2 linked regions of the Arabidopsis thaliana genome follow. The protein of the gene in region 1 purifies or fractionates together with the protein of each later gene. This does not show direct contact. Each region holds a gene or a part of one and is shown in the gene's direction. Other genes may lie near its edges.

The links.
Region 2: the proteins of AT5G58330 (region 1) and ATCS fractionate together in Arabidopsis thaliana (co-fractionation; one large-scale study listed by BioGRID). This does not show direct contact.

Annotation. Positions count from the first base shown.
Region 1 is NC_003076.8:23,579,198-23,584,125, reverse strand, and holds AT5G58330 (lactate/malate dehydrogenase family protein), read left to right. Parts: upstream 1-1,730; 5' UTR 1,731-1,838; coding exon 1,839-2,011; exon of another isoform or gene 2,012-2,015; intron 2,016-2,102; coding exon 2,103-2,196; intron 2,197-2,314; coding exon 2,315-2,401; intron 2,402-2,491; coding exon 2,492-2,829; intron 2,830-2,919; coding exon 2,920-3,010; intron 3,011-3,086; coding exon 3,087-3,161; intron 3,162-3,242; coding exon 3,243-3,344; intron 3,345-3,430; coding exon 3,431-3,553; intron 3,554-3,636; coding exon 3,637-3,705; intron 3,706-3,773; coding exon 3,774-3,842; intron 3,843-3,924; coding exon 3,925-3,978; intron 3,979-4,059; coding exon 4,060-4,116; 3' UTR 4,117-4,404; downstream 4,405-4,928. Other genes in the region: AT5G58340 (myb-like HTH transcriptional regulator family protein), read right to left, coding at 14-77, 193-383, 470-1,519; NET4A (Kinase interacting (KIP1-like) family protein), read right to left, coding at 4,485-4,928.
Region 2 is NC_003071.7:18,314,266-18,321,289, forward strand, and holds ATCS (Citrate synthase family protein), read left to right. Parts: upstream 1-2,012; 5' UTR 2,013-2,127; intron 2,128-2,154; exon of another isoform or gene 2,155-2,317; intron 2,318-2,390; 5' UTR 2,391-2,407; coding exon 2,408-2,458; intron 2,459-2,556; coding exon 2,557-2,622; intron 2,623-2,768; coding exon 2,769-2,810; intron 2,811-2,991; coding exon 2,992-3,057; intron 3,058-3,149; coding exon 3,150-3,215; intron 3,216-3,337; coding exon 3,338-3,451; intron 3,452-3,559; coding exon 3,560-3,623; intron 3,624-3,800; coding exon 3,801-3,883; intron 3,884-4,011; coding exon 4,012-4,061; intron 4,062-4,140; coding exon 4,141-4,218; intron 4,219-4,362; coding exon 4,363-4,491; intron 4,492-4,625; coding exon 4,626-4,668; intron 4,669-4,759; coding exon 4,760-4,846; intron 4,847-5,013; coding exon 5,014-5,115; intron 5,116-5,463; coding exon 5,464-5,571; intron 5,572-5,662; coding exon 5,663-5,713; intron 5,714-5,860; coding exon 5,861-5,934; intron 5,935-6,011; and 5 more. Other genes in the region: AT2G44340 (VQ motif-containing protein), read left to right, coding at 14-580; AT2G44360 (ecotropic viral integration site protein), read right to left, coding at 6,590-6,829, 6,914-7,021.

The DNA of each region.
Region 1 (4,928 bases):
AGGAAATGTTCACCTCTGTCCTCTCCGCAAATACTGTAGGGTTTCCATTCTTTATATCTTTCCATGATTTACCATACCTGCACAACAACAACAACAAAATGAGCCAGTGGTATAATCTTAATGAGGTCCAAGATGTATCACTATTGAATATTGATAATAGAGTACGGGACTAGGCAAAGAGTGTTTGCATACTCTTTTACTCCTTCCCTCAGAGCTTCCACTTCTTCTGGCTTCCAGAATTTCTTTGGTCTCCTGACATGTGGTTTCGCCAATCCGCCTTTCTTTAATGGAGATACACTCAGAGTTACAGGGGTTGGTCGACGAGGCCGAACTCTGCTAGACCATGTTTCCTGACTATCCGAACCTTTCTCATTTACATTATCCTGTTTTCACAATTAAACCACAAATTCATGAACCAAAGAACAAGATTTTTAGAAAGCATCTTGAGGGAAAATTGACTAACACTCACCGATGCTTCGTTATGGTCTTGACAGCCTGTTCCAGTCCTATTCACCCGAGTAGGCGGAGGAGTGACATCTACTGAGTGATCAATTGCACTGTTAGGTTCTTCCCCTTGCCTAGTGGAAGGGTCGATGTGTCCTTGAATCTCTACTAAATATTCCTTCAGCTCTCGAGCAGCCATTTCGTCTCCCTTATCAAGACTTGGCTCATGTTCCTGATCTTGTGCACTCACTGTGTGCTCCTCGTCTGCTGCATTCACATTATCAATCCCATCATTCTCCAGACATTCCATTCCTTCACCATCATTAGCGTTGTCTCTACCAATCCCATTCCCGTCCTCCCTTTCACCACGCGCCTCGTTGGCGATATCAATAGTATCACTCCCAAAACGTCTCGTGCTTTCATCAACATCACTTTGATCCCCTCTGTTGTCAACAACATCACCCTCTACGTTCACAGCCTTGCGCTTAAGAAACCTTCTTTGAGCTACTGATTCAAGAGAGGAACTCCCAAGTAATGCCCACTGTTCTTTGAGAAGCTGAGTGAGAAAGGAAATGGCAGTGTACCTGATGTTAGTCTCACGAATTCGCTGATAGAGCTCAGGATCTCCAAGGGCCTTCTTCAAATCACTCTCCCATTTCAACAAGTCACAAGTCACCAAATCGCTACCACTCTCCTTCAAAATCCCAATCCTCTTCGTCCATATCCTCTCAAGCGCATCGGTGAACAAACCATCCGAAGCAAACATTGGCCACATAAATCTAAGCGTACACTCAGTAGCCGTCCAGCAATAAGCAGACTTGTGAGAATCCATGAGTAGCGAATGTTGCTGCAAGAGAAGCTTCTCAAGAATCTCGAGAAGATCGAGCATTCCCTCATCAATCGTACCTCGGATCAATGAATTGGAGATGTCACGCAAGACGGAAGATATCTTGAGCTTTATGCAGTCGGAGGAATCTCCTAATTTTAGCGCCGAAATCAGATTAATAGGGGAAGCCCTAGGATTGTGTTGTCGAAGGAGGAAAAATTCAGCAACCCATTGATCAATGACCTCCATTATTGAAACTTTCGCGATCAAAGTCGCAACTTTTTTAATTCTCTGGTCAGCGGATGCAATGTCGCCGGCGAAGACGAAAATCTCCGATCAGTGATCAAATTCGAACGGTTTCAGGTATATTCTGTTATTGGGCCTTAACTGGGCCTAAAAGTCAAAAGAAGATAAACGGTGAGGATGCTAAAAGAGTGACAAGTGTCAAGAGCTGAGCCTTATCCATAGATTCCCCAATCCTCTTTCTTACTACTCTGTCGCTTGGCGCGCTCTCTCTCCATAGTTCCAGTTCTGAAATCTCACTTTCACAGTTTGTGTCTGTGCGATAATGGCCATGGCAGAGCTCTCAACCCCCAAAACGACGTCGCCTTTTCTCAACTCTTCGTCTCGGCTTCGTCTCTCTTCAAAATTGCACCTTTCAAACCACTTTCGCCATCTTCTTCTTCCACCTCTCCACACAACAACTCCCAACTCCAAAATCTCTTGCTCCGTTTCTCAAAAGTAAGTCTCTTTAAGCTCCTAATCGTTTCTTCTCTCTTAAATAAATCAACTTTATCTGATCTTAGATGCTTTTGTGAATTGATGATAAAAGTAGCCAAGCTCCTGTTGCTGTGCAAGAAAATGGATTGGTGAAGACGAAGAAAGAGTGTTATGGAGTGTTCTGCCTCACCTATGATCTTAAAGCTGTATCTTACTATTCCCTCTTACTATTTTTCTATAAAAGAATCTTATCTTTGAGACTTGAGAATTGAGATAATCCTCTGCTTTACATGGATATAATAGTATTATGTGTGTGTTTGCCAGGAAGAAGAGACAAGATCATGGAAGAAGTTAATTAATATTGCAGTTTCAGGTGCTGCAGGAATGATTTCTAACCATCTTCTCTTCAAAGTAAGTTAATCCTTTAAGTTACTGTTTTATAGGATAAGGTTACCAATAATTGGTCTTATTTTATGTATCTTTGGTTTTCCGGGTGTGTAGCTTGCTTCAGGGGAAGTATTTGGTCCAGATCAACCCATTGCATTGAAACTGCTAGGATCAGAGAGATCAATTCAAGCTCTTGAAGGTGTTGCAATGGAACTGGAGGATTCATTGTTCCCATTGTTGAGAGAAGTTGATATAGGAACAGATCCAAATGAAGTGTTCCAAGATGTGGAGTGGGCTATTCTGATTGGAGCAAAACCTCGAGGCCCTGGAATGGAACGTGCTGACTTGTTGGACATCAATGGCCAAATCTTTGCTGAGCAGGGCAAAGCTCTGAACAAAGCTGCCTCTCCTAACGTCAAGGTTCTTGTAGTGGGAAACCCTTGCAACACCAAGTAAGCTACATTCCTTAATTCAACCCTCTTCATATCGTAATCAGTGACAAACATTGGAAGTATACTTTACCTCATTTTGTGTTCTTTCAGTGCCTTGATTTGTCTTAAAAATGCTCCCAACATTCCTGCAAAGAACTTCCATGCCCTCACGAGGTTAGACGAAAATCGTGCCAAATGCCAGGTACTAGATTTCACACCTATATGTGATTGTATGCAATATATTTGCATACATATGATTGACAATTTCCATTTTGTAGCTTGCTCTTAAAGCCGGTGTTTTCTATGACAAAGTGTCTAATATGACCATATGGGGAAATCACTCCACGACTCAGGTTTGCCTTATCTTACTCTAGTGTCATCTATTCTCTACATTTATCTTGGGATGTTTCTCTAATCTTTTAGAGGAAAATTAGGTGCCAGACTTCTTAAATGCCAGAATTAATGGCCTGCCTGTGAAGGAGGTTATTACAGATCACAAATGGTTAGAAGAGGGATTCACTGAGAGTGTGCAGAAGGTAAGATGGCGATTCCTCTGATAATGAAATGATTTCTGCAATGAGATATAATGTTTTGCTGAGTAAGTTTGCGTTTTGTTTTACAGAGAGGTGGGTTATTAATTCAGAAATGGGGTCGATCTTCTGCTGCTTCTACTGCTGTTTCCATTGTTGATGCTATAAAGTCTCTTGTAACTCCTACTCCTGAGGGTGATTGGTTTTCGACTGGGGTACATCTTCTTTTACACTCATTTGGATAACAATAAGATAGATTGGTTCAAGTTTTAACAGGGTTGTGTTAATGTAAATTTAGGTGTACACGGATGGAAATCCTTATGGTATTGAAGAGGGCCTTGTCTTCAGTATGCCATGCCGGTCGAAGGTATGTTCTATCCTTATACTTAAAACCTTTCTCTAGAGGTAAGTCTCAAAATTGTGTGTTGCTTACAGGGAGATGGAGATTATGAACTTGTCAAGGATGTAGAAATTGATGACTACCTTCGCCAACGAATCGCCAAGGTATAGCCTTCTTAGAGATTAATCTTTTTCAGGTTTTGTATCTAAATACTAGAAGTTTAACTGAGACATGAAAATATTGCAGTCGGAAGCGGAACTGTTGGCTGAGAAGAGATGTGTTGCACACCTCACTGGAGAGGTACGTATCTTTCTTGTCTATTCAGACAAAGCCAATTTATATAGAAACTAACCTTGGTTGCTTTATGAATGTGTGTTTCAGGGCATTGCCTACTGTGATCTTGGTCCGGTAGATACTATGCTTCCTGGGGAAGTTTGATTTTTGCAGGACGTTGAACATCTCAAGTAAGCATTCTCTTCCGGGTTGTTAGCTGTACAGAGCACAGCCACATTACTTATGATTATTGTTCAGAATAAGAAAATGAAACTCTTATTTCTTATTTACATGCATCTGTATGTGATTTTTCTTGAGCAATGCTCCAAAAGTCATATACAGTAGTATTTGTAAACACTTGAAACGTTTCTATGCTTTATTCCAGTTTCAGAACTCAAACTAGATAATGCATAGCTAATATCAAACACAAATCTTATGAGCTTTTTCTTTTCCACAAACCAATCTCAAAACAGCTCCCTATATGTGAAAGTATCACCAACAAAGTTACAAAGAGTATATACTGTACACAAGAATTAAGAAGCAAGAATGGATGATGGTCTTGTTGGTGGATGCCCTGAAAAGGCTATGCGTAGTCTCTTGTATTCGTCTCTGGAGTAGTCTAGTGAAAAACAGAGCTGTCTTATCACTTCCCTCTTCTCTTCTGCTACTTCTTCTAGTTCCCTCCTCTGCTTCTCCACCTCCTTCTCCATCTCCATAGTCCTATCGTCTCTCGCTTTTATTTCACTTCCAAGTCGACTTATCTCCGACTCTAGCTCACTCACCTTTCTGCTTAACGTCTCTATGCATCTCCCTTTCTCTACCTTTTCCAGTGTCAGCACCTCGATTTCGCTCTTCAGCTTTTCCTCCTCTTCTATTTTCTCATTGTTCACCTTTCTTCTCTCATCTTCAAGATAACGCACATTGGCTTCCAGCTCTTTGAATTGGTCATCCCGGTGTATTTTTTCTTCCAACAGCTT
Region 2 (7,024 bases), on another chromosome or scaffold:
TATAGTTTCTTCAATGGAGATTACTCAATATCAAAGTTTTCATGAAGGTTCGAGTTCTAGGGTTTCCATGAACAGGAATTCACAAGTAATATCCAAGATCAAACCCAAGATTCGCATAATCCATATATTTGCACCGGAGGTCATCAAGACCGACGTCAAGAACTTTCGTTCACTCGTCCAGAGTCTAACCGGGAAACCGGCACCGGGAGAAGCCAAAACCGGTAAAAAGAGAGCCAAATCAAGAATTACGACTCCCCAAGAACCGGTTTGCGATGATCATCAGCCGGTCAACAGGCTTTCGGGTTTCACCGGTTTACTAGCAAACGGAGGAAACCACCAGGTGAAAGAAGAGTGGGGATCAGGTGATCAGAGTACTTCGAACACAAACACGTACTTTGATCTAGAAGGTTTAATTCAAGATGTCGGAGAAGATTACTTCTCTTCGTTTCCCATGAGATCCTCTTCTTCTTCACAAGTCGAAGGTTTCATCTTCAACAACAACAACAACAACAACAACAACAACAACAACAACAACAACAACAACACCAACTTCGATACAAAGGCTCATAATTCGTCTTAATTAATAACAGATTAATTTCTAGGGTTTTCAATCTTATTGATTCTGCAAATCGCATTTGGTGAGATGAGATCTAATCGCAACGATAAGGTCATATTTTGTGGGAGAAAAAAGGCATAGAAGTTGTATATAGATATAACAAATGGGTATGATGAGAGACATAAACTTTTGGCGGGACTGACTTTGCCAAGGTTGAGAGTTGTGATGAAGAGAGTTTAATCTACGTGCAGCCCTTCTAGGAGAAGTGGCTGTATCTAATTAAGATGTGGTCGGTCAAAAAAGCCCTAGTTTTATTATGTAACTTCATTGATGTGCTATTATTGGATGTGTATTAATTCTTTGGTGTGCAGATAAATGTGATGATTGCTGTACTTTAATTTTGGGGAAAAAGTTTGTATGGAATTAGAACAAGGATCGACTTGTTTTCGATATAGATACTCTGATTGATTGTGTATATTGAATATCGATACTTACATAACGGTTATTCGGTTAAAGTACAGTTACACTAATTAAATTAAACTGTAAGTTAACAAGAATATTCTGGCTCAAGCTAAATTATTTTTTTTATTATTATTGTTTACTAATCTTTTGTTACAAATGTTGAAAATGATATTTATTATACATGTAGTACTTCAACTAAAATAAATAACGTGTTTTCATATTTGATGTACGTGTATAATATATCATTTTCAACAGTGAGTAATATTAACCCTTTTATCAAAATAAAGTAAAACAAAATGATATAACCTATCAACAAAATGCAAAGAAAATTGATCCGAACCGAATATAGCCGTAACGGTACACCAAAATTGTTTTGAGATTTTAGTGTCCGTTGACCTTTTCATATAAAGCCAAATTATTCGGTCTGGTTTCCAAAAGAACGAAAAGGTATATGATTACGGTTTACTCCCTTGCTTCTGTGTTTTGGTTTAGTTTGGTTTACCTTCTCAAAGTTCTCGAACGTCAACATTTATTTTATCTTATTTTGTAAGGTTCTGCACATGTTATACTTATTAATTAGTCTACTTTTTCAGGCATTGGGATTATTTGTTTTAGTCTAAATCGGTTTTGGTTGCATAATATTGGATGAAAACATTGTAAAGGACAATTTCAAACCTGACTTTTCTAGATTTGGAAACGTTCCGGCTGCTTGAAAAGCTCACATAAATATTAGTATGATTTCTTAAACCAAAAATAAATGATGATTATCAACAATACCGTAAATAAGGCAAAGGAAATAAATGATGATTATCAACAATTGCCGAAAATAACCACACCGGTACACCGAAATTGTTTTTGAGATTCATAAAACCGGAATAATACGCCTAAAGGTTATTTTCTCCAATACCGGTTTAGTTTGGTTTGCCTTCTCAAAGTACTCGAAGGTCAAAATTGGAATTTAGTAATAAACCTGCTCCAGCTATATACAAATGTCATTTGCTCACCTTTCGCCGATTGATTTTGTACATCACACGCAGACGCAGCTTTTAGTATTTTTTTCAACAATCGCTTTTTTTTTTCTCGATCTCCGTGAAGCTCTCGAATCTCTGGTATGTTTCTTCGCTTCTTCATAGTGTTTCTCATTTCCTTTTGGTCTTCCATAATTTTCGGAGAATCTAGTCCTGTTTTTCTCTTCTTCTGGAATCTGAATTCGCCGGTGAATTCCGCTGATCGAATCTCTGAGTTTTGTTGAATTATTTGATTCGGCGATAAAACTTTTTTTGTTTGTTTCTGATTTTGGTGAGTGTTGATTGCTTGAGTTTTTTCACGGATCGATTTGTTTTGAGAATTGGGTGGATACTGTCTGTCACAGGTTTTGAGTTTTGGAGAATGGTGTTTTTCCGCAGCGTATCGGCCTTTACTAGGCTGAGGTCTCGCGTCGTAAGTATTTGAAAATTTTGTTTCCAGTTTTGTGTTTGTTCTCGTTTGATCTCGCTGGTTCATGCTAATCGATTGATTGGTGATCGAATCTATGTAAGCAGGGCCAACAATCTTCACTCAGCAATTCTGTCAGATGGATTCAGATGCAGAGCTCTACCGACCTGGTAAATCATCTCCGTTGCTTCGTACTTTCGTGTGTGATCGTGATCATGTAGTTTTCATGATCATGATCATATGTAAGTTTAATATTGGTTTGGGATCTGCTGCTTGTGGGGTCTTTGTTCATTTTGTTTAAATGGTGGCAATGCAGGACCTGAAGTCGCAGCTGCAAGAGTTAATTCCGGAACAGCAGGTTAGATTAGACTCTGTTTGCTTTAAATGAAAATTTGTGTTGTTGACTTTTTTTTTTCATTGAATGTGTGTATTATTTGTTATGTTAGCTGAGATTGTTAAGTTAAGAAGGCAGGCTAGTTGTAGTGAATCTCTTTGCTTTTCTAGTTTCCTCTTTTCTCACAAGAATTTTCCAATTTCAGGACCGTCTGAAGAAACTGAAGTCAGAACATGGGAAGGTCCAACTGGGAAACATCACTGTTGATATGGTAGAAACAATCATGATTTTCACGTTTTTGGTTTGTTTATATGATTTTCACCTTCCATTGCATAACTCATCATAATCCCCTTTGAAATAAAGGTTATTGGTGGAATGAGAGGGATGACTGGATTGCTTTGGGAAACCTCATTGCTTGACCCGGAAGAGGTACTGTATAACTCTCTGTATATAGTTACAATAGCTTGGTTAGATCCTAGATATAGAATATATCAAATGCTCCTCCTTCCTGTTCTAAGGCTGTTGATGCAATTATCTTATCATTATTTCAGGGTATTCGCTTTAGGGGATTGTCGATTCCTGAGTGCCAGAAAGTATTACCTACTGCCCAGTCTGGAGCTGAACCATTACCGGAGGGTCTTTTGTGGCTTCTCTTAACTGGAAAGGTGTGGCTCTTCTGTACATTATTATAAGTTGGTTCTGGATATGTCCAGTCGATTAGTTTTCCTCAATAGATTATCTTATGATATCCTTTTTTACCCTTTTTCGTATAGGTACCTAGCAAAGAGCAAGTTGAAGCACTGTCGAAAGACTTGGCGAACCGTGCTGCTGTGCCAGGTTTGGATATTACCTTTTTCGCTCTGGCTGTTGCAAATAAAGGAGTCTGTTTATTGGCTCATTCAAACTTGTTTGACATCAATGCTTACAAGAAATTGCTTAACAGAAATGAAATAAATTTGTGGGTTTTGTGTTATACTTTCATTCATTCTTAACTTGTATCCAATTTTTATACAGATTATGTGTACAATGCCATCGATGCTCTGCCTTCCACAGCTCATCCAATGACTCAATTTGCTAGCGGTGTTATGGCCCTCCAGGTGTGGTTCTCTAAACTCGTATTGTTGTTTCTGTTCTTCTTGTGATAAGCGTTGGAAACTTATTGTTTTTTTTGGCTATAAGTAAACAATTTTCAGCAGAATGATAATTTTCTTTACCTAATATCCAGGTGCAAAGTGAGTTTCAAAAGGCATATGAGAATGGAATTCATAAGTCAAAGTATGCTTTTGGGGTTCTGATTTAGTTCATGATAGCGTTTCATATTAGCTGGCATCATAACAAAGATTTTTTCTTCCAGGTTCTGGGAGCCAACATATGAGGATTGCCTCAACCTGATTGCTCGTGTTCCTGTTGTAGCTGCATATGTTTATCGAAGGTTAGTGAAGACTCTTTTTGTACTCTTTTTCATGTTTCTTGTAGCTTCTGGATTTTCGGCAATGATTTTTTTTTTATTGGAAAATTTGCCATCTCTTGTTTTTGCTTTGTATTGACTGTTGACCTTTTCCATGCATCATTGCAGGATGTATAAGAATGGTGATTCCATTCCCTCAGATAAATCTTTGGATTATGGTGCAAATTTTTCCCACATGTTGGGATTTGATGATGAAAAGGTGAAAGAGCTCATGAGGCTTTACATCACCATCCACAGGTCTGTATTAATTTTCGTCACCCATGCATGTCTCCTTAAATAAGCTTAATTATCTTGTAAATTTGTTTGTTCTTTTTAAGACTTTAAATAGACCTTTGTATAACATTTTGCTTTTCTACTATTTTTTGCTCTAGTGATCATGAAGGTGGAAATGTTAGTGCTCACACTGGTCACCTGGTATGTATATACTCTCCATGTGTCAATTTTAAAGGATTGACCTACCTGAAGTTTCTAATGGTTCTTTTGCTAAAAATTCTTGTTCATGTAGGTTGGTAGTGCACTTTCAGACCCATATCTGTCATTTGCAGCTGCATTAAATGGTTTAGCTGGGCCACTCCATGGTTTGGCTAATCAGGTATCCTCCCTTGTCTATATCTTGAATAAGTCTTAAATCTTCAATCTACAATAGAGCTTCGTAAGTGGCTTTTTGTATTTTATCTAGGTAGGTTGTGATAGTTTGATGATACAACCATAAATTGGAGAAAACAAATTCTTAGTCTTTTTTTATTATTGTTTCAACAGGAAGTTTTGCTTTGGATCAAATCAGTCGTAGAGGAATGTGGAGAAGATATATCAAAAGAACAGTTGAAAGAATATGTTTGGAAAACATTAAACAGTGGCAAGGTAAAAACAGGAAATTCCTCTGCCTTGACATTCTTTACTTTCTGGTCTTGTACCTGAATCCCACTTTTGAAGCCAGCCAACAAGACTGATGGAGCATGCGAAAATGAATTAACATCTTGTCTACTAGTCATCATAATAGGCTAATATTTCAATTTATTGTGTGATACTGTTATGGGTCCTCTTATTTACGACCTCATAGTTTGGTCAGTTGCTCTAACTGCTCCTAGTAAGTAATACTGCCATAAGAGCTTTGGATCCTGTTTTTCCCTATCCTAGTTTACCTTGTGGATGTAATGTTACAAGGATAGTCTAATGATGATCTATTGACGAGTCTTGTTTTGTCTCTAGGTTATTCCGGGATATGGTCACGGTGTTCTGCGCAATACTGATCCAAGATATGTATGCCAAAGAGAATTTGCCTTGAAGCATCTACCTGACGACCCTCTTTTCCAGCTGGTACTTTTTTTCTTTCTCTTTTCTCTTTTCTGTTCGGTTCTCAAAATTCTATCAATGTTCAGTAGCTAACAAAATCCTTCCAACTCTGTAGGTGTCAAAGCTTTATGAAGTTGTGCCTCCTGTTCTCACTGAGCTTGGAAAGGTAGTATCTCTATCCTTCGTTTACCATGGTGATCCTTCAATATTCCACCAACAACTCCACAACACCTTACCTACATGCTAGGGGCTTATGAATCTCTTGCGAATCAATTTTTTATTTACTTGCGAATCCGATGATGGCTTGTTACAGGTGAAGAACCCGTGGCCAAATGTTGATGCTCACAGTGGGGTCTTGCTGAACCACTATGGTCTAACCGAAGCAAGGTAAGAAGTAGACACCTCCTTCAAGTATCATTGAGCCTTAGGATAGCACTCAAATATAATATCTGTGCGTTTTATAGGTACTACACCGTGCTCTTTGGTGTTTCAAGGAGTCTTGGCATCTGCTCTCAGGTAACATATATATATTTACACATTACGCCTTTGTTACTACATAACATTTAAAACAGAACTCATATGCTCTCCATTCTCATTTGTGTTTAATTCACAGCTTATATGGGACCGAGCTCTTGGACTTGCACTTGAGAGGCCAAAGAGTGTTACCATGGACTGGCTTGAAGCCCATTGTAAGAAAGCTTCATCTGCTTAAGTCACCACCGAGTCCTGAGTTGTCGCACTCTCTCGTGTTTCAACAAAAGTCATTCTCTTCCACACTGGATAGCTTTTTTTGTTTTTACCTTCTATTGACAGAAGAAACATTTGTTCATGTAGAAATTGTTCCTGAGAAACACATGCTTGGTGCAAATTTGCATTTCCGGGAAACTCGTGATAATAAATAAACAGTTGTATTCAGTTTGCGTAAAAATCAAACATCAATATCACTCATGAATTAAAGCTTATCTTGGTTTTGATATACATAAAAGAAACAAGACTGCAAAATAGAAAACTTCGACATGAGTTTATCAAAAAGAAAATGGGATTAAGAGCTGCTGGTATTGTCGGTAGTAGTCTCCTTGTTAGAAAGGTCATCATCATCAGCAAGAGAGGCTGTGAAGTTGAGTCTCTCTTCGGCGCCGGCAGTGATAACCGGCATCCAAACATCAGCTGTGCCGCTAAGAAGCGTCTGAACCTGTGGATCAGAAGCTATAGCTGATGATATCATCTCATCCACATCATCTAACTTTGCTGATAACTTGTCCAATTCCTTAGCTATCTCCACCTGAAAACACAAACAATCACACACAAAGCCTCAGATTTACATTACAATGTGTACCAGATATATGAGTGAACACAGGATACAGACCTCATTGAGGTGTTGAGCAGACTTTGATGGCACTTTAGTGACTTCTAAACCAAGAGCTTCAATCTTAGAACGTAGCTCAACCTCTTCTGTATTTGTCAATGATTCTACCTA